Linked DNA regions of Coturnix japonica. The protein of the gene in region 1 purifies or fractionates together with the protein of each later gene. This does not show direct contact. Links are inferred from orthologs where the notes say so. Each region holds a gene or a part of one and is shown on either strand. Other genes may lie near its edges. The genes, in order: ATP11C and TMEM30A.

What was found.
Region 2: the proteins of ATP11C (region 1) and TMEM30A purify together in Homo sapiens (co-immunoprecipitation; 4 studies listed by BioGRID and IntAct, with this or other methods). This does not show direct contact. The link is inferred for Coturnix japonica from reciprocal best matches to the Homo sapiens genes ATP11C and TMEM30A.

Annotation. Positions count from the first base shown.
Region 1 is NC_029519.1:4,920,862-4,930,942, reverse strand, and holds part of ATP11C (phospholipid-transporting ATPase IG), read left to right. Parts: intron 1-795; coding exon 796-993; intron 994-2,061; coding exon 2,062-2,223; intron 2,224-2,427; coding exon 2,428-2,585; intron 2,586-2,872; coding exon 2,873-2,944; intron 2,945-3,512; coding exon 3,513-3,586; intron 3,587-3,790; coding exon 3,791-3,894; intron 3,895-4,553; coding exon 4,554-4,735; intron 4,736-5,605; coding exon 5,606-5,869; intron 5,870-6,140; coding exon 6,141-6,315; intron 6,316-7,440; coding exon 7,441-7,543; intron 7,544-8,757; coding exon 8,758-8,903; intron 8,904-9,292; coding exon 9,293-9,352; intron 9,353-10,081. UniProt on the Homo sapiens protein: Catalytic component of a P4-ATPase flippase complex which catalyzes the hydrolysis of ATP coupled to the transport of aminophospholipids, phosphatidylserines (PS) and phosphatidylethanolamines (PE), from the outer to the inner leaflet of the plasma membrane.
Region 2 is NC_029518.1:73,685,433-73,696,109, forward strand, and holds the end of TMEM30A (cell cycle control protein 50A), read left to right. Parts: intron 1-1,091; coding exon 1,092-1,208; intron 1,209-1,855; coding exon 1,856-1,963; intron 1,964-2,467; coding exon 2,468-2,555; intron 2,556-2,958; coding exon 2,959-3,102; intron 3,103-4,177; coding exon 4,178-4,384; intron 4,385-6,472; coding exon 6,473-6,666; 3' UTR 6,667-8,752; downstream 8,753-10,677. UniProt on the Homo sapiens protein: Accessory component of a P4-ATPase flippase complex which catalyzes the hydrolysis of ATP coupled to the transport of aminophospholipids from the outer to the inner leaflet of various membranes and ensures the maintenance of asymmetric distribution of phospholipids.

The DNA.
Region 1 (10,081 bases):
CTGATCATGTCTGTTGCCAGTCCTGTGATGCCTGCTTGCTCTTTGGAAGCACTGTCACTTGCTGCAGTCTCTCCTGTTTGTGTTTGCCTCCTGTCTTGATTACTACCTGCCTCTCGTGCTTGTGTGCAGTGATGCTCTTAGCAAGGCTTGCTCTAACCCTGCTCGCACGCTGCTGTCCCCATCACCCTTGGGGCAGGCATAATGCACGCCAGGCTACTGACAGCAGGAGGATAACATCGTTTCCACCATGCAGAGATATTACATAAATGCAGCAGCTGATTTAACCTGGATCCTTATCTGAACTTGAGCTATCTTTCAGCTTTGAGTAGATAAACTTAAATTGAGGCCGTGTCAGCCAGGTTCTTAGACTTGCAGAGACGCATGCAGCCAAGCCTGAAGGAGTGAATGTGAGTGGGTGGGAATCAGCTGATGTAGTTGATTGTTGACTAGGACTTCAGGGATGTCACAGAATCAGTGCTTGACTGTTCTCAAACTACTTGCTGCCGATACCTGAGATGAGAATCAGATGAGAATCATCAATATGTGTACCTGAATAAAACGTAGATTTAGTCACTTGGAAACAGCGCTGTGTGCTCTTCTGTCATACTCCCATATATCTGCAAATGGCAAAGAGATTTCCTATATCAAAGGAAAGTACAATTTGGTCCTTTGTCTTAAATGTGTTCAGTTATTTTCAGAGGGCTTTTTTTCTATTTAACATTTAAAGAAATGCTGTCTCCCTGTGTTATACCTGACAAGCACAGACTGCATCTTCTTCTTGTCTTTCCATTGCAGGTGTTGCGGATGTTCACGGACTTTTTGTCCTTCATGGTCCTCTTCAATTTTATTATCCCGGTCTCCATGTATGTTACAGTAGAGATGCAGAAGTTCTTGGGCTCCTTCTTCATCTCTTGGGACAAAGAGATGTACGATGAAGAAATAAAAGAGGGAGCGTTGGTGAACACCTCAGACCTGAATGAGGAGCTCGGACAGGTCAGAACAGGCTCTGTTTGCATCTGCTTTGAGAGACGTCCCTGTGTTGGCAGGGGAACAGCAGCACAGAAAGAAAGCCAGAAGATGCTGCTGTAGCCACCAGCATGCCACACCGTGTACTGCCCCCTCCTGCTGTGGTGGTTGGTGCTTCTGGTGGTGGTTTATGTGCACCTGTATGTTTCTTGATAGCTGTGAAGACCAACTCATGGGCCACTGCTGCTGGAGTAATGTTCTCCCTGATAAGAGACCATGTTGTGGCAGTCCCTTGCAGTCCCAGCAGTACAGGGCTTCAGCCAGACTGGTGGCACTTTCCATTTAACGCGATTCCGCTAGCGGCACGAAGTTGGTAAGGTTATAAATAGTGTATGAAGGAGGAGGAACTGGGTCACGCCAATTGTTTCCATACTGGGGAATATCAGGCGTAGCACTTAGTGTGTCAGGATGGTTTGCTTTCACTGCTTCAATTAAAAGTCAGAAATTCTATGTCTCTTCAAGGATTAGCAAACACACCTGCCCAGTTATCTCCCTGGGCACACACTGCACGTGCAGCCATCCTGCTGCTGGCTTTGCTGGAGCAGTTGTAGCTTCTTTTTCTGAGTGTGGGATACGTATGGTGCCTCCTGCTTCTTATTTTGCTTTTAAAAATACTATCAGTTTGGAGTAGCAATTACGTGTGTATATAATATGGCACCAAGGAGGAAGTCCCACAGAGGAGGCAACAGATCTGCAGCAGCAGCTGTATGAGCACTGGGAGCCAGAGCAAAGAAGCCAAGAAGTAGGATGAGGGAGAACAAAAGGTCTTGAAGCAAGTTTTAGAAGCCTTTGGGTGCTGACTCCTGTCAGCTGTGCAATGGATTGAAGAATGAAGGAGGTAGTAGAATAGCCCAGTGTTGTCCACACAAAGCACCTGCATGTTTCTGGGGACCAGGTTAAGAAAGCAGCAAAGGGTTGGCACAGATGTATCAAACTGACCCAACCTTTCAGTTTGTGGAGGGCTGCTTCCACGTATGGCCCTGCTGCAATGACGGCTGCAGCAGTGCAGTGAGGTGGGTGTCTGATCTCTTCTAGGTGGAGTTTGTCTTCACTGACAAAACAGGGACGCTGACGGAGAACAGCATGGAGTTCATCGAGTGCTGCATAGATGGGCACAAGTACAAGGACTGCATTTCAGAGGTTGATGGCTTCTCGCAGACTGATGGACCCCTAAAATATTACGGCAAAGCAGAAAAGGTGAGAAATCTGCATCTTTAAAGTGTTTTGTTGGTGGCTCCAAGCTAGGGGTCAGTGCATGGTCTATTACTGCTGAAGTCGTGGGGGTGGTTGGTGGGGTTTTTTTGTTTTGAAATACATACACACAGCAGTGGTAACCAGCTGCTCTGAGGGGGATGGGATGCATGGCACAGAGCTAATCGTGGGCCCTTTCTCCATCCCTAGAGCCGAGAGGAGCTGTTCCTGCGAGCCCTGTGCCTGTGCCACACAGTTCGGATCAAACAAGCAGACCAGGTGGATGGGCTGATAGGACACCCTGAGTGCAAGAACACCTACATCTCTTCTTCCCCAGATGAAATTGCTTTGGTGAAAGGCGCTGAGAAGTAAGAATCTGACGGTGTTGTGTTTTGTTTCATGTAAAGCTCCTGGAGGACCACGTATAGAGCCTCATGGCACCTTAGCAATTGTAATGTCCAACTTCCCAGGTTATGAGGGTGGTGCCAACATGTTAAATTTGGCTCTGCAAGCAGCTGCCCAAACCTTCTAGCTTGGGCTTGGTAACTTCTTACCTCTCCTCAGCAATACAGATCATGAAATGAGAAGTCTGTTAATGTGTAACACACGCCAATGGGTGCTCTCAATATTGTTCTGTCCTCTTGTTTATTGACAGGTATGGTTTCACTTTTCTAGGACTTGAAAATGATTTCATGAAAATCCGAAACCAAAAGAATGAAACTGAAATGTAAGTGCCACAGGGCCTGCCAGGAATATTGCTGCCAGGGGTTGAATGGACTCTGTTCAGCTTTGTTTCTCACGTGGGTTAATTAAGCTCAGTCAGCGTGTTAAACCAGGCAAGGTCAGAACTGCTCAGCAAAGGCTGTCAGACCAGTTACCGACCTGCCCAGCCCCTGCTCCTTTGTGCAGTGAGCAGGGTGAAGGGTTTGCTTGCAAAGGCTTGCTGTCAGTCCTTAGGAAGCCTCTAGATCCCTTGAGTGTGTGCTGTCCCTTGCAGTCTCCTTCCTTCCCCAGAACCTTATGGGTAGCAGCTGTGCCTTCAAGCGGGGCACAGCCTAAGCGGTGCAGTATGGCTCCCAGATGGAAAATTATTTGGTTTTACCCTGTGCTCACAGCTCTTGTGACATCCACATGCGTGCAAGAAACTGGGAGTGAATTGCCTAACCCCAGTGCTCCCATACTGTTTGTCCCCCAAGCAAGTTTCACTTCTCTGGATAGTCAGTGTGCAGCTGTCCTCAAGAGCTGTTTTCCTTGTGCTGAGCCTAAGGTCAAATTCTTTTCTTCCTTTTTTAAAGGTACCAGCTTCTCCATACGCTGAACTTTGACCCTGTCCGTCGTCGTATGAGTGTCATTGTGAGAACCACCACAGGTACAGCTACACTCAATAGTTCAGCCCAATATCAAAGAATGTTTTGTGCCAGGTGTCAGACCACTTTTGGGAGCCTTCTAGCAGTTCCTCCTTTAGTTCTACTATACTTTTTCTTCTGTATCTCTTGCTGGTATTGAAGCCAATGTCCTTTAAGCCTTTCTATGGCTTTTGAATGCTATAAACTACTTATAACTTTGCTTTTAGGAAAGCTGCTTCTCTTCTGTAAAGGAGCAGACTCCTCTATTTTTCCAAGAGTGCAGCAAGAGGAAATCCAACAAACTAAAGTCCACGTGGACCGCAATGCTATGGTGAGCATGCAGTGGGGAAATGGCTGGCTCTGGGGTCAGGAAAGTTGTATGCCAAAAATAGGGATGTGACCTCGCTTTGGAGGGAAGTACTGAAGATCTGAGTGTCACTCCGTATTGTTTTGAAGCCTGGTTTCTTTCCTTTTTTGTTTCTTTGACTTCCATGTTTATTTGACTTTTGATATACTTATATGGGTTTGATCGCTGTTGTGTCCCCGCATCTCCCGAGCAAGTTAAAAATAGCACTAACAATAGCACACTGTTTGCTCTGGTGGGAGGAATCATTGTGTCGGTTGTGATGTGCGTGTGAAGGTGGAAGTGAAGCCTGTGCTGGGAGGCTGATCTGGCAGTGGTGGTGGTGTGGGAGGGTGGCCATTTCTTGGCTCTAGGTGCAGGGGCATTCAGTTGTCCCAGCTATGTGCAAGATCTCTGCTCTGGCCTTGCCCTTGTCTTATGTCTGCTGTGCTACGTGCATGCGTGTATGCTCTGATGTGAAGAAGTTACTATGTGAACACAGCTGCTGTCTTCTGACTTAAGCCATCCGTCTTTATAGTCAGGTTCAGTACTGACAAAGTGCTGACAGAAGTGCTGGCCCTAAGGTGGGGAGCTGCACAAAACAGGGTTTAAGGGCAGTTGTCTGCTTCTTTTTCCACCCCTACAAGGATGGCTACCGAACGCTTTGTGTGGCATTCAAGGAACTAACTCAAAAGGAATATGACAGGATTGACCGGCAGCTTAATGAAGCAAAGATGGCTCTGCAGGACAGGGAAGAAAAGATGGCAAAGGTCTTTGAAGACACAGAAGCAGACATGCACTTGATTGGGGCGACTGCTGTAGAGGACAGGTAAACAGGCACCAGCACACAGACCAAGCGTGTTGGTACCCATGTTTTCTTCACAACTTTGTGTTGTGGTGGGCCCTTGCTTTCTTGCGTGAGCTGTGGTGAGATTCCTTTGCAGCCTGGGTTGGCATTCCCCTGGGAGCAGTGGGAGAAAACTTGGAGCATCCCCATGAGAGCTGAGCAGCAGGGCAGAGGTTGGGAGCATGCAGTGGCAATTACTCAGTGGTACAACCCGTTACATACTGCCTAGCTGCTAAAATCAGCTACTGCAGGGGTTAGGATTTATTAGCGAAACCACAGAAGTACTCACACTTCTACAAAGTGAATGAATGCATGCAGCCTCAATTTACACATCAAAACAAATGCAGTTTTGTTTGCAGTTACAGTAAGTGCATGTGTAAATTAACCTCATATTCTTGACTCTTGGGTCTTGTAGTATAATGCGGTGATTTCTGTCTGCATGTAAAAAACTTGGGATTGCTGAGCTCTAATCCTTATTCCTGTGGCAGTATCTCTTCAGTGTGGGGACAATCAATTAACTTCTCCCTAGCTTACATTCCCTACCTGCAAAATAAGGATTCCCCAGGGGGCTTTGTGGATTAAGAGGCGGTGTTGGCTAAGCCTCTTTACACCCATCGAGTGCTGTATCTCAGAAACATGTTTCTGAGGTTCCTGCCTGGGGCCTGCAGGGAAGGGCTTTACAGCCTTCTCTGAAGGTCTCGTTTATCACAACTCTCTTGAGTTGTGCACGTAGTGTAGAGCTGCTCTGGGGTCATCCTGCTTCTGTCCAGCGGTGTGGTAGTGGCTGCTCAGAGTCTGCCTTGCATCCAATGCCAGCCTGAGCAGTGAGGTTTTTTTTCTCTCTGCACTCAGGCTGCAGGAACAGTCAGCAGAGACGATCGAAGCTCTGCATGCTGCCGGCATGAAGGTGTGGGTACTGACAGGGGACAAGATGGAGACAGCCAAGTCCACCTGCTACGCCTGCAGGCTCTTCCAGACTAGCACTGAGCTGCTGGAGCTGACGGCCAGGGTGGTAGGTGAGAGCGAGAGGAAGGAGGACCGGCTGCACGAGCTGCTGATGGACTACCACAAAAGGCTGATCCAGGATGTTCCCAAACCCCGGGGTAGCCTGAAGAGGTGAGTGGTGAGATCTGAGCCTGTGTCTGTTGGGAGACACGCTGCTTGCAGTCTCCTTTGCTTTAGCTGGCTTTGAACTTAATTATGCAGCTCCCTTAGCGAAGGATGTGTGCTAAATCTAGGTTATTTTATGATGTCTAAGTCCCCCAGAAAGGATGAGAGAAAGATTACTACACAAGTAGTTCCTTTTCCACTGAGATGATAAAAGCAGCTGGATTGACTTGTTAGAATGATTTTCTTTATTCCAAATCTGTTCCTTGTTGTGTCCTAGAAGCTGGACGCTGAGTCAAGAATACGGCCTGATCATAGATGGTTCAACACTGTCGCTGATACTCAATCCTTCTCAGGATTCCAGTTCTAGTCATTACAAAAACATATTTCTACAAATCTGCCTGAAGTGTACAGCAGTTCTGTGCTGTCGGATGGCTCCTCTGCAGAAAGCACAGGTGAATTCCTTTTTGGTTTCTTTTCCCACTAACTGAAGCATGTCGTTAAGTGATACAACACACCTTTACTCCATTGGATGAAATTGATCTGCAAGTGGGCTTCAAAACCTGCAGTGAGACAACTTTGTAAACCACATCAGACCTGGTTTCTTGGTTTTTTTTGGAGGGTCAGCTGCCATCACTGGGCAGTAGATGTCCAAGTTGAGAGAAAGGCTCCTGAAGGGGTGTTGCAAAGCAGTTTGTTATTCCCCAGGGAGCAGGAAGCAGTGCACCTGGCACAGGAATTCACAAATCCAAAAGGCAGCGGTGTTGCTAGAACAGTCTGACTTGCAGATTTACCAGGAAGATGAAGCAGGGCGACTTTTAGGGTAGCACAAAACCTTCAACAAGTTGTAGTCAAGTATTCCTTTCATTAAAGACGTGGTAGATGTAACCACTGATTATTTCTGTATAACGGTGTGAGGCTGCGTTTCCTGCAGTGCTGCTTTAAATAAAGCTTACTCATCTTGATCAGCCAGGACTTCCCCAGGCTATGTATTAGCCTTGTCTGAACTTCAGAGCGTTATGGAAACACACCAGTCTTTCAATTATGAATATAAAACCTTTCTTAAATACGCTTGCAGGAAGCCACAAGCCCAAGCCAATTAGGAATAAACAAAACCCATTTGTTCTTTTTTTTTCCTTTCCAAATCTGTAGTCCATGACTTCCTCACACCAGCTGATGATAAAGGATTATAAACAGTGCATTTTTAGCCCTGCTGCAGGGTATGACTGTCTTCCATGTGAAATGCATGAGAGGCCACATCTCTGTGAGAGAGCAGGGTCTGGCAAGGGGGAAGGGGAGGCTGCTGCTGGGAGTGATTTGTTTCTGCATGCTGTCCTTCAGCCTTGTGAAGCTGGGTCTTGGCTTTTCCTTTGATTGATGGCTGCAGAGGAAATAGTGAGGGTGTTGATTAATCTGAACTCTTTATTTGGCTGCCACAGAGCAAGGTTATTTGTTCAGGAGTGTCTGGGGAGTTGCAGGGGTCTCTGGAGGTGGGGTATTTTTCAGTGTGGGGTTATTTGTTTGTTTGTTTTCCTACTGAACTTTTTGGGTTGTGCTGCTATCCTGTTTTAAATCTTTAGATTGTGCGAATGGTGAAGAACACAAAAGGGAGCCCAATAACGCTGTCAATAGGGGACGGTGCGAATGATGTCAGTATGATTTTGGAAGCACATGTTGGAATAGGTAAGACCCCCTGATACACCTATCTGATACCTAGGGCTGCTATCAGTCTGTGTTGCTTATGTTTGCTGTTGTAACTGATCACACATGGCTGAACTAATCCCAATTGACAGATGGGGAACTTACCTGCTGCTTTCAGAGGGCTTTTGGTCTGGATCGGTGCTAGGGATCATGGTAGGCTGCTGCCCTTTGATAGGCACGTTCTCTTTGTCTTTACCACGTGGTGAACTGCAGATTGCTTCTTATGCTTTAGTTCCCACTGGTGAAATAATGGGGTTTTCTGCTGTCCTCTATGCAAACAAAGGTTGATTCTATTTTAAATGAAACAAGGTAACTTCCTCTGACCTTTATTTCACCATTAAAGCCAGTGCTGAGAGCTTCGGTGGGATCGTACCCATTCAACTCAGCTGAGCTGTAGCTGGCATTTGTCCTCTACCCAGGTGTGTGCTGGAGCTTGGCAGCTCTGATTGCAGCTGCAATGTGTGCATTTTCCAAGGGCTGATGCTGGGCTGTGCTGTGCCTGCCCTGTCCATATTCCTGATATCAGGCTGGAAAACAGCTGAATTTCATATCTAAATTTCTGCAGATTGTTGTCAGAGACTGTGAAAGTACTGGCAGTTTTTAAATACCACTGAAGAGGGATGTCCTTTGTTTTCTAACCACCCTCTTTATTTCTGACTGTTGGGAATGGCATGTTAGCCTCTAATGAATAGAATCCTTCACTGTAGTTAATTTGGATGTGGTTTTTGAGTGAACAAAACTGGCTTTCTTGAGCTTTGCTCTGAGGGGATCTCTTGGGAGGCTGAGCTTCTGCAGTGTAATAACCACACTGCTAGATGCGGGTAGGCCTGGGGGAAACCTTATCTTTTATTGGGTTTATCTGAGATGCTCGTCATCACGTGCTCCTACAATAAGAACTCAGTTAGCAACCTAAGTTCAGATTAAAAACTCCAGAGGATTGTCACAGAGCCAAGGTCATACCAAGTACTGCAGAGCTTTAGTGTTTGGCTCTCCTCTACCTGCTGCCCCTGTCCCTAAAGGGTCAGTCCCAGCGGCTGGGTACACAGGGTGACATGGAGGCATTTAAAGTGTAAAAGTCTTAAAGAACCACCAAGGAAACACAGCCTTTGTCATGGCCTGAGGCATTGAATTATGTGACCAAATTTCACAAGTAGCATCAGGATAAATTCCAGTCCTTGCCTTGCTTTTGTCTCCAGGTATAAAAGGCAAAGAAGGACGTCAGGCTGCAAGAAACAGTGACTATGCTGTTCCAAAGTTTAAACACTTAAGAAAACTGCTACTAGCACACGGGCATTTATATTATGTGAGAATAGCACACCTTGTACAGTATTTCTTCTATAAGGTAAGAATCAGCTCATTATTTTTGTTTTCACTGTGGGTTTTTCTGACAACAGAAGTAGTGTAAAACAGATGATGTATGGGATACTCTGTTTTTTTTCCATCTGGGGTGAGTGTGTGTCTCCCATGTGCCTGTTAATTGAAAGCCCTTTATATACCAATATATGGGGGAATGTGAGAGCATGGCTTTCTTCCTTTGCCATCTGCTGATGCTACAAGCTTATTGAATTAGTGTAGTGCTTGGTAGAAAACAGTGTCCTGCTTTACCTGATAGTACAATATCAGATAATGCTATCTGAGAATAGAAAAAAATACTGGATTTAGATGGGAAGTCAAGCATTCACTAAACTCATGAACACTTCCCTGCTAACCTTTCTTTTTTCGTTTCTCTAGAACCTTTGCTTCATTTTACCACAATTTTTATACCAGTTCTTCTGTGGATTCTCACAGCAGGTAACTTCCAGTAACGTATCTAAAAAGACAGGATAAAAAGCCAGTCACACAGCGAGGCTTCCTAGCAAAAGCTTGACTTTTGGTCATCCCACCCCTTCCTCATCTTTCCTTGGATGACAGTAGGAATTGACCTCCTTGCTCAGTGCTGCGTTTTTGAGACTTGCAAGTAAAAACAAATAACTTTCCCATCCATGACCTGTTTTTGTTGCTTAAGCATGGATGGAGACCTTCCCAGAGTAGTGGGGGTGTTGTAGCTGGTTTGCCAGCACCTAATTTTGCTACTTCTACTCTGGAAAGTTTTCAAAGACTTCCTGATCTTCTCTCATCTGCTGCATTTCCCTATACTGAAAATGTCCTTCAAAAAGAAGAATGGCCTGTTCTTTTGTAACAGCCTTTAAATAAGCCAGATGATGAGTGTCATCACTTAGTCCAGATGAGTGTCAGAAGGACAGACCTCTGACAGGTGGGCTCAGGTGCTTGCAGATGCTGGCCGTGCCATTTGTGTTTGCTTCTGTTCTTTTCTATCTGGTTGGCCTTAGAAGTATAAGAGTTTATTCCCCGCCTGCCTCAACAGAACCACTTTTTATTTATTTCAAAAAAGAAAAACTATAGTTCCTCTAAAAAAAAGTCAAGTCTTTAGAAAGTCACAGGAGACATCAAGTGTATTAATAGAAACAGCAGCACAAGAGCAGCTGCAGAAAAGCTGCAGTAACGGCTGCTTTATGACGT
Region 2 (10,677 bases), on another chromosome or scaffold:
TTGGTAACTTGTCGCGTGTTGCCCTGATCTGAGTTCTGTTACTAAGTAGGAAGCTCCTTTTAAGTGCAGAAATAATAGTTCATAAACAGATGGAATCTTTCTCCTACACACGGAGCTAACCTGCCGAACCCAAAGCAGTTATTTCCTTCCGCTTGTATCCTGCAGCTACGCAGGAGAGAGTCAATCAAGTGACTTCTGTTGGCAAGGGCTATAGGATGAGAGCCCCAGGTGCTCAGGATACATTGTGTAACATAAAGGTGGCCCAAATGTGCAGATTTCAGGTAAATTTTTTTGTTCTTGTTGCTGAACTATTAAAGACAGATCCTTGATAAGCTACGTTAATAGTGATCGTATTTTCTTTTTCATCTGGTATTTTACTGTTTTTGGCATTTGTGTCTTCACCTTCCCTGTTTTAGGAGAGCTCTTGAGTGCCCAGGGAGGCTGTGGATGCCCCGTCCTTGGAGGTGTTCAAGGCCAGGTTGGACGGGGCCCTGGGCAACCTGATCTAGTAAATGTGTATGTTTGGTGGCCCTGCCAGGCAGGGGGGTTGGAACTACATGATCCTTGAGGTCCCTTCCAACCCGGCTCATTCTGTGATTCTGTGATTCATTAAGCGGTCTTTGAAAAATCTGATGGAGTGCCTAAATATAGGCAGTAAATAAAAGTTTTCTTAAGCAAAACTTTTTTCTTATTTAATATCTTTGTAGGCTTTTAAAAATGAGACTTCTCTGGAAAGCATGTAGCAGGTTAGATCTGCTTGTTATATACTGAGCGTGTTTGGTGGTGCCATGAGTATCTGCTCAGTGTGTTTTGGTGGGTTGTTTTGTTTGTTTCTTTCTCTTCTTTCCCAGCATTAATGGCCCACACTGGTGCCAGATTTGTCTGAGGCTGGAACAGAATATGCAGTCAGAATCACAAAATAGTTTGGGTTAGAAGGGATCATGAGATCATCAAACAGAGCTTTTGGAACTGAGATGTAGTAATACTGCAAAATAAATGCCACACCGATTTCTCTTGCTTATTAATCAATTTTATTTGCTTTCTCACTCTAAACTAATGTGGATTTTTTTTTTTTTTTTTTTCTGTTATAGATTGATTATACAGGAATAGAGCCTTCCAGTCCTTGCAACAAGTGTTTAAATGTGTCCTGGGATAGCACACCGCCTTGTACCTGCACAATCAATTTCACACTGGAACATTCATTTGAGGTACATAACCTTGCATGCAAAGTGAAATGAGATCTGCTGATGTGGTTTATTTTGTAAGTGATAGGAAAATTGCATTCTCACAGCCTTACTTTGTGTCTGCCTTGAAGGATTATTTCTAGTATTCCTATGAACTTGGATTTGATGGCTGTGTGTCTTTTCATTAGCAGAGATGAGATGGTTTTTAGTGCCTCTCTATCTGGAATTGCAGTGTTAAGTGGGACACGTGTCTTTTACACATCTGGATTTACTGTCTGTGTCCTAGGTGGGCGTCATATACTTGACATGTAGATAAGCTATTCCTGCACAACTTAAACTGAGTTCAGCAGGAAGCAGCAGCACTAGATGCATTCTTTGAGGCAAATAATGAGGCTTATGTGCTTGGTGTTGGACAAGGTAAGTATTGGGATAGTACTGATGAATATCCTGCTGCTGGTTTATGGCATGTTGATATTGTTTGACTTCAGGATGCCAGCTTTTGTTGGGATAGTATTGTGTGTATTCAGTACAAAGAGAGTCTTTGAGCATCACTACTGTGAGTGTTACTATAAAGTAAATACAATTTAAGAGGTTGGATTTCCAGGTTTCAGTTAACCAGCATGTTTGTGTGTTTTATTGACCTGTTGTGTAAATCAAAACCCTTCTTGTAGAGTAACGTCTTCATGTATTACGGACTTTCTAACTTCTATCAAAACCACCGTCGCTATGTGAAATCTCGAGATGACAGCCAACTCAACGGAGACAACAGCTCATTACTTGTAGGTATTCGAGCTTTGATATTTACAGATACTAGTAGGCAATGAACAGCTGACTTGCATAAGTTATCACAGGGCAGAATAACTAGTTTAATAATAACGTAGCTGTAGAATTTTTGTATTCAACAAACAATAAGGTATTCATATTTTTTATTAAAAATAATAAACGTTCTTTTATTTATTAAATTCTTAATTCTTTTATTTATTAAAAATAAATAACATTCCAGTTAGAACATTTTTTCCCCTCTTTTAACAGTTTCTAAGCACAGTCTTAATTTTACAATGACCATCATGGGATTTTTGACTTTATTCATATTTTATCTAGAATATTTTCCTGCTTGTAAAGAAAAAAATCAATCATATCGATTAGCAATGAATGCTGAAGTATATGTAAATAAACTCACTCCTGAGAATATTTTGTAGTAAGTGTGAGCTGTGTACGTGTGTGAAGTACTGAAGTATAAACTAGCACAGACTGATCTGCCTTTTTTTCTTTCTAACTGTCAGAATCCAAGTAAGGAATGTGAGCCTTACCGCACCAATGAGGATAAACCCATTGCTCCCTGTGGGGCTATTGCCAACAGTATGTTTAATGGTACGGTAACACTTCTGAGTTTAGCACTGAGGTGTTTTTGTGTTGTGTATGCTTTGTACTGATGCTTTATTCTGGGTATTATTGTGGATTGTTTTGTTTTGAATTAACACACCTTAATTGTTTGGAATGTTGAGATTAAAATACCATTAATAACCACCACAGTGAATTTAACCTGATAGCACACAAGGGATTGAAACATCTGTTGTGAGTGGCTGTTATGGCTGTGGAATAAAGATGCTATACATGTATAACGCACTGCTCTGTATGTGTGTGGATTATTACAGAACAGTTCTTGATTGTGGCAATTTGTTTTTCCTGTAGATAATTATTTTACTGCCTATCAGGATCATTCATCTAATAAAAGCCACTCTTATCTGGTCTTCCAATTTGATTTTCCCCATAGATACATTGGAATTGTACCACATCGAAAACGACACAAGGACCGCTATTACTTTGATTAAAAAAGGCATTGCGTGGTGGACAGATAAAAATGTGAAGTTCAGGAATCCTACAGGAGATGGAAAGAATTTAACTGCGCTCTTCCAAGGTAAGAAATGTGTGAAATTTTAAGAACAAAAGATTTCAAACACATTGATTGCCATGGACTTCACCTCAATGGTGACATTGTAGTGAACATGTTAAATATATTGTTCTATGAAGAAGTCCAAGCTAAGGACTTCTCTGCTTTCTGGAAGAGTTGTCTGTTAACAGTGGATGCTGCAAATTTAATGCAGAACTAATATAATTTTTTCTAAATTCACTGTAGTCATTTAACATGTAAAAATAGAACCTGGGCTTATTTCCTGTTTAATCTTTCTGAACTTTCATGAAAGCTCTTTCTGTCAGTTGCTTGGCATCAGATTAGTTTTGCCTTAGCAACTAATCCAATTTGTTAAGATGGTGAAAAGATTCTTGGCTTAAGTGATATTTCAATTACTTGTTGCCGTTTGGGATCTTGAAATATCAAATCAAATTCTGATATATATATATGTGTGTGTGTGTGTGTATATATATATATGTATATATATAATAGCTCTTGATAACTTTTTATGCCTTGAATACTGAGAAAATCCTCGTTAAGTGCAGTGCTATAATACGTGGTTTTAACTTCAGAAGAAATCCTGTGATTATTTAACCAAACTGTGTGAAATTTTCTTTTTTAATGTTTCTACTGGTAGATCTTACAGTGCTTTTTAAAATCTGATTATTTGTGATCAGATTAACTGATTTTTCTCAGTTATAAGGTTAAATGTAGTTAAGTACAGCCTGGTAAGTCGGAGTTTCTTTGACAAAGTCTAAAAGCAGTTTTCCTTCTGGGCTTTTGGGTCTGTGTGTATATGTAAGATAGAAAATAGCTCTAGGTTTAGCCTGATATGTCTTGCTTGCTTAGTCACAGCCAAGTGACCTTACCAAAGTGATGTTACCCTTGCAAAGGCAGATGCCATACTCTAATGTTCCTGAGCAGTTCAGTAATCTTGCAGTAGCAATGAGCCAGTCTGGCTCTTCGTACTGCTTAGGATTCACTGCATGTTTTTTATGATACTAGAATGAATTTTGGTGATCCAGTGCTTCATTTAGTCCTGTGTTTGAAATGCTTTATTGTTGTTTTTGTTTAATCTTAGGTACAACAAAACCAGTCAACTGGCCCAAACCAGTGTATATGCTGGACTCTGAGCCTGACAACAATGGCTTTATCAATGAAGACTTTATCGTGTGGATGCGTACTGCTGCTCTGCCAACATTTCGTAAGCTGTATCGTCTCATTGAGAGGAAGAGTAACTTACAGCCTACCTTACAGGCTGGAAAATATTCTTTGGATATCACGTACAGTATCCTTTGAAAATGCCCTTAAAAACTCCTTAGAACACTGTCTGGGTTACATGGGTGGACTTTTAAGGAAGGTTAAATCAAATGAGACTTTATAATTGCTGTCTTCTGCATATAGTTTATAGAACTAACTTATGTTTGTTCTGTTAAGATCATGAAATTCAGTTCCGTAGCTTCATAAAGGGAAATGACTGGGTCATCTTGACTTCAGAATGGCCACCTGAAGCATGGAGTTGTCTGAGCTAGTTATGCTAAAGTAAGAAGTAGCTCTAATTAAAAACCAAAATCCATTGTTCTAGGAAAGAGAGAAAGCTTTCTTTGATGCATAGGAGGGATGTGACAGTCTGCAAAAACCATGTTCCTGTCTCATGCAATCACTCAGACTTGTGGTATGTCTGTGGCTATACCATATAGAAAGTCACAAAGAATTTACTATATTATAGAAGTTGACTTTATGGTGAAGGTTTTGCCAAGGTGACTTTCGTAGAATCATAGAGTCACTCAGGTTGGGAAGGACCTTAAAGATCATCAAGTCCAACCGCAGCCTAACCATGCTACCCTAACTAACAGCCCTCTGCTAAGTCATGACTCTGAGCACCACATCCAAATGGTTCTGAAACACATCCAGGGATGGTGACTCAACCCACCTCCCTGGGGAGCCTATTTCAGCGCTTAACAGCCCTTTCATTAAAGAAGTTTTCCCTGATATCCAGCCTAAACTTATCTGGTGCAACTTGAGGCCATTTCCCCTCATCCTGTCACCAGGGAGATCAAGTATCTTTTTGAGAATATTATTCTTTAGAAATGTAGGATTTTACCTCTTGTGTTTCATTTTTAACTTAAAGCACATCACACTTGCCTGATGACGAGGGTGGAGGGAGAAAAACACAATGCTGCGGAGTCAGCTGGATCTTCAGATACAATCTAATACAGGAATGACTTGTAAATTTGTAGCCTTATTGCAAGTTTTTTCACTTAGGCTCATATTCTTCAATGTAAATACAGTTTTAATCATAATTTTCTTAAACTATTGTGTAGCTCTCATAGAACTGCATTATGTATTTAATGAGGATGAAAATATTATTTGGATTTTTTTTTTTGTTTCTGTTTTCAGAGATCACAAAATGGGGGGACAAAAAAAAAAACAACAGCACCCCAGTCTTCTAAAGAGGCCTTTGTGAGATTATAAATTAATATCAGGGAAGATTTCAGTGCAAAATTTGCCAGTAAGCAAATGAAGGACACTAGTCTAGACACTAGTGTCTTCTCAGTATGCTTGAGTGCTTAGAGGGGTATGGTCAGCCTCATTCACCCTTAGTCTCACACAGCTTGTTCACATATGTGGCTCCTTGCAGTCCCTGCTGCCTGCTTCAAGGGATTGAGGCTGCAGTCTTTGCATGGGAGCATTTTCATGTGATAATTTTTTGGGTAGATACAGAAGCAGACAGACTGCAGTCTAACAGGAAGATGTGTAGGCATAGTTCAGGTGATGCTTTGCTTGAGCTGTTAATTTAGAGGTGAAGAGCTCAGAATTTAGAGGCCAGAGCTGTGGATCAGGTGCACATCTGTCATTCCTTTTTGGGCACACAAAAGATGAGGTAGTTATGTAGGAGACTAGAGGAGGCAGGTTGTCATAGTTACTGAATTCTTAAAACTCGAAAGCTCCTGAAGATCATTAAAGTACTCACTGCAGTATTTTTCTTCCCTGCAAAACAGCAGAGAGTGCGTGTAAAAAAGAGTCTATTTATTATTTATCTATTTATTCACTAGGAAAAACTAAAATACAGATTTCAATTCCTCAGTGTATTTTCTTCATTTTATTGAAGTTCCTTTCAAAGGCCCATGAAACTGCATTTACTTTCCACTTACAAAGTGAATAACCCCTGTGGCATTTTTCTTGGAGTAGTTGACTGTGCCCAAGTTAATCTTTTTTTAAAAGAACAGCTACTTTGAAGCTACTTTGAATATTCAAAGATGTTTGTGTCGGGAGCCTGAGTCAGATAATCCAACATGTTAGTGTGCCTGATTAAGTTAGGTTTGGAAATGCACTTCATGTTTCTTGTTTTCCTATATTCCTTGTTTTCTCTCAGATTATCCCGTGCACAGTTTTGATGGACGAAAAAGAATGATCCTAAGCACAATCTCATGGATGGGAGGCAAAAACCCCTTCCTGGGCATTGCGTACATCACTGTTGGGTCCATATGCTTCTTCTTAGGAGTTGTATTGCTGATCATCCATCACAAATATGGAAATAGAAACACCAGTGCAGACATTCCCAATTAAAGTCGCGTTTTGAAAGCAACTATGCTGCATGTGCATCAAGGCCAGTCCAGAACGGACCCAGCTGTTGGAAGATAAATCTCTGCTAATGTCACTTCTGGGGCTGGGTATATAATTTTATCTAAAGATCTCCTTTCCCCCTTGCTGTGGATTAACTCTCAGAATGACGGGTATACAATTAGCTGTATTGATTGTATCTCTGCATTTGTCAGAAACAGTTTTCTGATCTTTGCCTCTGGCTGGGCAGGCCATTTGATGCATGTAGCTCCGGTTCCCTTGATGCATCTGCTGCTTGTCATGTGCTGTGTAACGTCAGTATGATTCAGTACATACAGATTGTGGAGAAGACTGTTGTAAGATACCATGTAAATTGTTCATTTAGCAGAATTTGAGTGTCATTGCTTTTGAAAGGAAAAGGCAAGTCTTAAGTGTTTTTTTCAATTTATTGTCTTGTGTGCATGGACTCTTACATTTCCGGATGAGATTTTAATATATTTATATTAGCAGTTAAATGTTCTTTCCTGTGTCCTACCCACCTTTGTTACGTTAGATTCTTTAAGTGCAGTGCGAATTGCAACACATGGAATTCCTGTTAATAGTTGCAACAGATGTGCCTGGCCAGTAAAATGGCATTCTATAAAGGCATCGGGAAACCTATTTGTTCATTATCTCTATGAGTTCCTCTTAAATTTTGTTCTAAACTGGGAGATGTTTGTTGCAGGTAGAACCTGCTGTTTTGTTGTTCTCTTTGCTTTAAGTTATATCCAGTTTTCCTGATGTGCTTTGCTGGTTTTGCTTTTTAAAGAGTACCTCCATGCAGTAAGCAAGATGAATCTAAAATGTCTGTTCAAGTCACAGACTTGAGTGAATTCCTTTCACTAAGAGTTTCTTGAAACATGTATTCTGCTGAGCAGGCTTTGTTGTAAAGGAAATCTCACGTTCTGTTTCCTTATATGGAGTAGATGCCACAATAAATTCTTGCAGTGTTGAGATACTGAACTGTAGAAATTGAGAAGCTGAGATGACAGTGATCTTTGTTATTCCAGTGCAGCTTATGTTTGCAGTGAAACCTAATTGAAATATTGCAGTTAGAAGCAGTGAGGTTTAGTGTCATAAACAGCAGAAGGGTTCACTTCTAGGTTAATTTGAAGCTAGTTAATCTATAAAATACTATCTGATTTCTTTTTAGATGATGCACAGAAATTGTAATGTATATGGTGGAGATCACTTTATATGCAACTAGCTTCGTAAGTACTGAGTGTATTAAAAATACCTAATAAATTCTGCAAACCATTTATTAAGAGATTTTACTTTCTTCTTGAACGTGCATTTATTTTCATCTGGGTGAAAAGCCATTCTCATGAAGAATGAATGCGTTTTAAGCAAGTTGTATTTCTCAGTTACAAAAAATCAATGTAACATCTACAGCCATCTTTATACAACACTGTATTAATCTAGCACATAAATGCAAAACTATATTTAGTCAATTACTTGTGTAATGTTTTTCAGCTTGCGGTTTACGTGTTTAGGTCTGCATACACTGCAGGATGAAGCAGTGTTTCCATGGTGCTGGCTTTCTGTATAAGCATATAATTTGCTTACACAGTACATTGTGGTAGCGCAGGGCTTTTAAACATTCAGGTCTTCTAGATTTTTTTGCAGTGCTGTATCTGTTGCTGGAAATATAGGATAAAGATATAGAACTGTATATTGCAAGGTTGGAAGGTTGCACAAGATGTTAAGCTGGCATTCCTCTGGAGAACAGTTTAGTCCAAAACAAAGTAGACAAGTAAGATGTTTCCCATTTACTGCTTACTAAAATATTTTGATTTTTAAACCATTTGTCACTTGAAAGGTAAATGTTTTGCTTTATTCATGACCCCTTTTCTGAGCAGGGAATGCTGGTTTTTGGGCTGCGTTCAAAATGGAAAAGAATATTTCTCTATCTCTACCTAGAAATGTTTTTCATTGCTTTTTTCTTTTCCTGTTGAGCACAGCTGTCACTGCTGTTTGGATCTTCTTAATGAAGTGCACCAAGAAGAATTGCTGAATGTTTGTTCTTGCTACAAATAAAGCCTTTTTTCTGAAAGCCTGTAGCACAAAATACTTGTCAGTATGCAGTGGCGCAGTGGTAGGAATGCTGCGTTGCAACACTGGAGGCCCGAGTTCGAATCCCCCCTGTGGCACAAGTGGTAGAAGCGCCGCTCTGCTACACAGGAGGCTCGAATCCCAGGGGTTGGACTCAATAATCTCTAAGGTCCCTTCCAACCCGCACAAGACTATGATACTATGATACTATGAATATGAACATTATGCCCAAGGAAGTCAAAATATTAGGTCTAACTTGTAATCTCTTACTTTACTCTTCTTCGTTTGCCTTGGTAGCACGTAGGTAACTACTGGGATTCTTAGACTTTGCGTTTCCTGGAAGCTGCCAATGTGTCATGTGTTCAAAGACAAAGCCACAGTGTCCCTGTCTGACACTTGTCAGGGCGGTGTTGCTGTCCCAGTGCTGTGTGCCGTGTGTTGGAGCTGACCACCTGTGCCCTGGTCCTTCAGTGACATCCGTTCCACACAACTGCTAGTGTTCAGATCTGGAAAGCAATGCCTCTCGTTTCCAAGTGCCAGCCAGGCACTTTCCAAATCCCACCCTGTTGAGGCAGTGCCCAAAGCATGAGATTATAGGCTTCCTGGAAGCAGGCGGTGTTAGGACATCCTACTTGTGAATGAATCTTTCCTGGAGAAATTAATGTGGGAAACTAGGATGTGTCTCTGTCTTACGCAGGAGCTTTTAAAACAAAATCCTTTGTGTGTGTCCATCTTCCTTCCAGCCTTGTTAAAATCTGCACAGCTGTAGCAAAGCAGAGGGCCCCTTGGGTACTTTTAAATTGCTTTGGGCTATTTGGAGAGCTGTTGGTTGTGATTAGCTGAGTCAGAGGGAAGAGTTATCGCCTTAAAACTTGAATGTGAAGAATTCTTTGTAGCCTTTGCCTCTGAAGGTCACATTGGTACTGAAACCACAGTGTCAGCAGCCTGGTTTTGCTTTAATTATGAATGTTAAACCTTGAAGAACACAAGGTTTGTCTTTTTATAGAAATCTTTGACAATCTAATGTCAGGTAACATCTGCTTGAGTCTGCCAAGTAGCAGAAAATGCCTGAAAATCTGATCCTACCTTGGTCCTACATAAGACCAATATCTTTTGTATTTGCTTTATAGAAATTCTATATTTGTTACTGTGTGTTGCTCTCTGCAACTCAACTAATTTTGAAGAGTTAGAAAGGAAGAGGGCAACAGTGCAGAAGCCTTCATCAATGTCCCAACAATAATAACAACAAATACATACCAAGGTAGTCCTATGAGGGGCTGTATCAGCCTAGTTACAATCAGTTACTTATAAATAAAATGACATTTTTGAGTGCTTGTGTCTGTGTTGAACAGCCTGCCAAAAGAAAACTCTTGCTTGGTAGGGGAAGGAAGTGAATGGTCAAGCTACTTTTATTCCAGCTGTCTTTTTAGCAATGTGGTCAATGTATGGACTCCTAAGATAGAAGGCCCCAGTTACATATCTTCCTTGGATCAGCAGAAGTACTTTCATGTTACAGTTCCATGCATTTTAGCTCACAGAATATGATTTAATTAACATAGTATGCCTTAAATGGGAGCTCTTGATGGTTTTGATTTAGATGGACTGTGATCATAAGCCTGATAAGAATCCATATCCTTATATGACCTGGGTCGCAAATAAGAAACTCTTTTCTTCTGCTCAACCAGCACATGAATTATAGTAATAATGTCTGTTGCTTGAGCTTATGCCAATTTCTGCTGTTGGAAATAGTTGTTCTCATTTTATGTTGGAAATAAGTAAGCAGAAATAAAAGCATGACTCGTAACTAATGAAGCTAAGGGGTTTTTATTATTATTATTATAGCAATTAATTTGAAAGAAAATGGATAGGATTTCTTCTTCCTAAACCCTGATTTCAGGTAAATGTGACCTCAAAGAAGCAAACTTA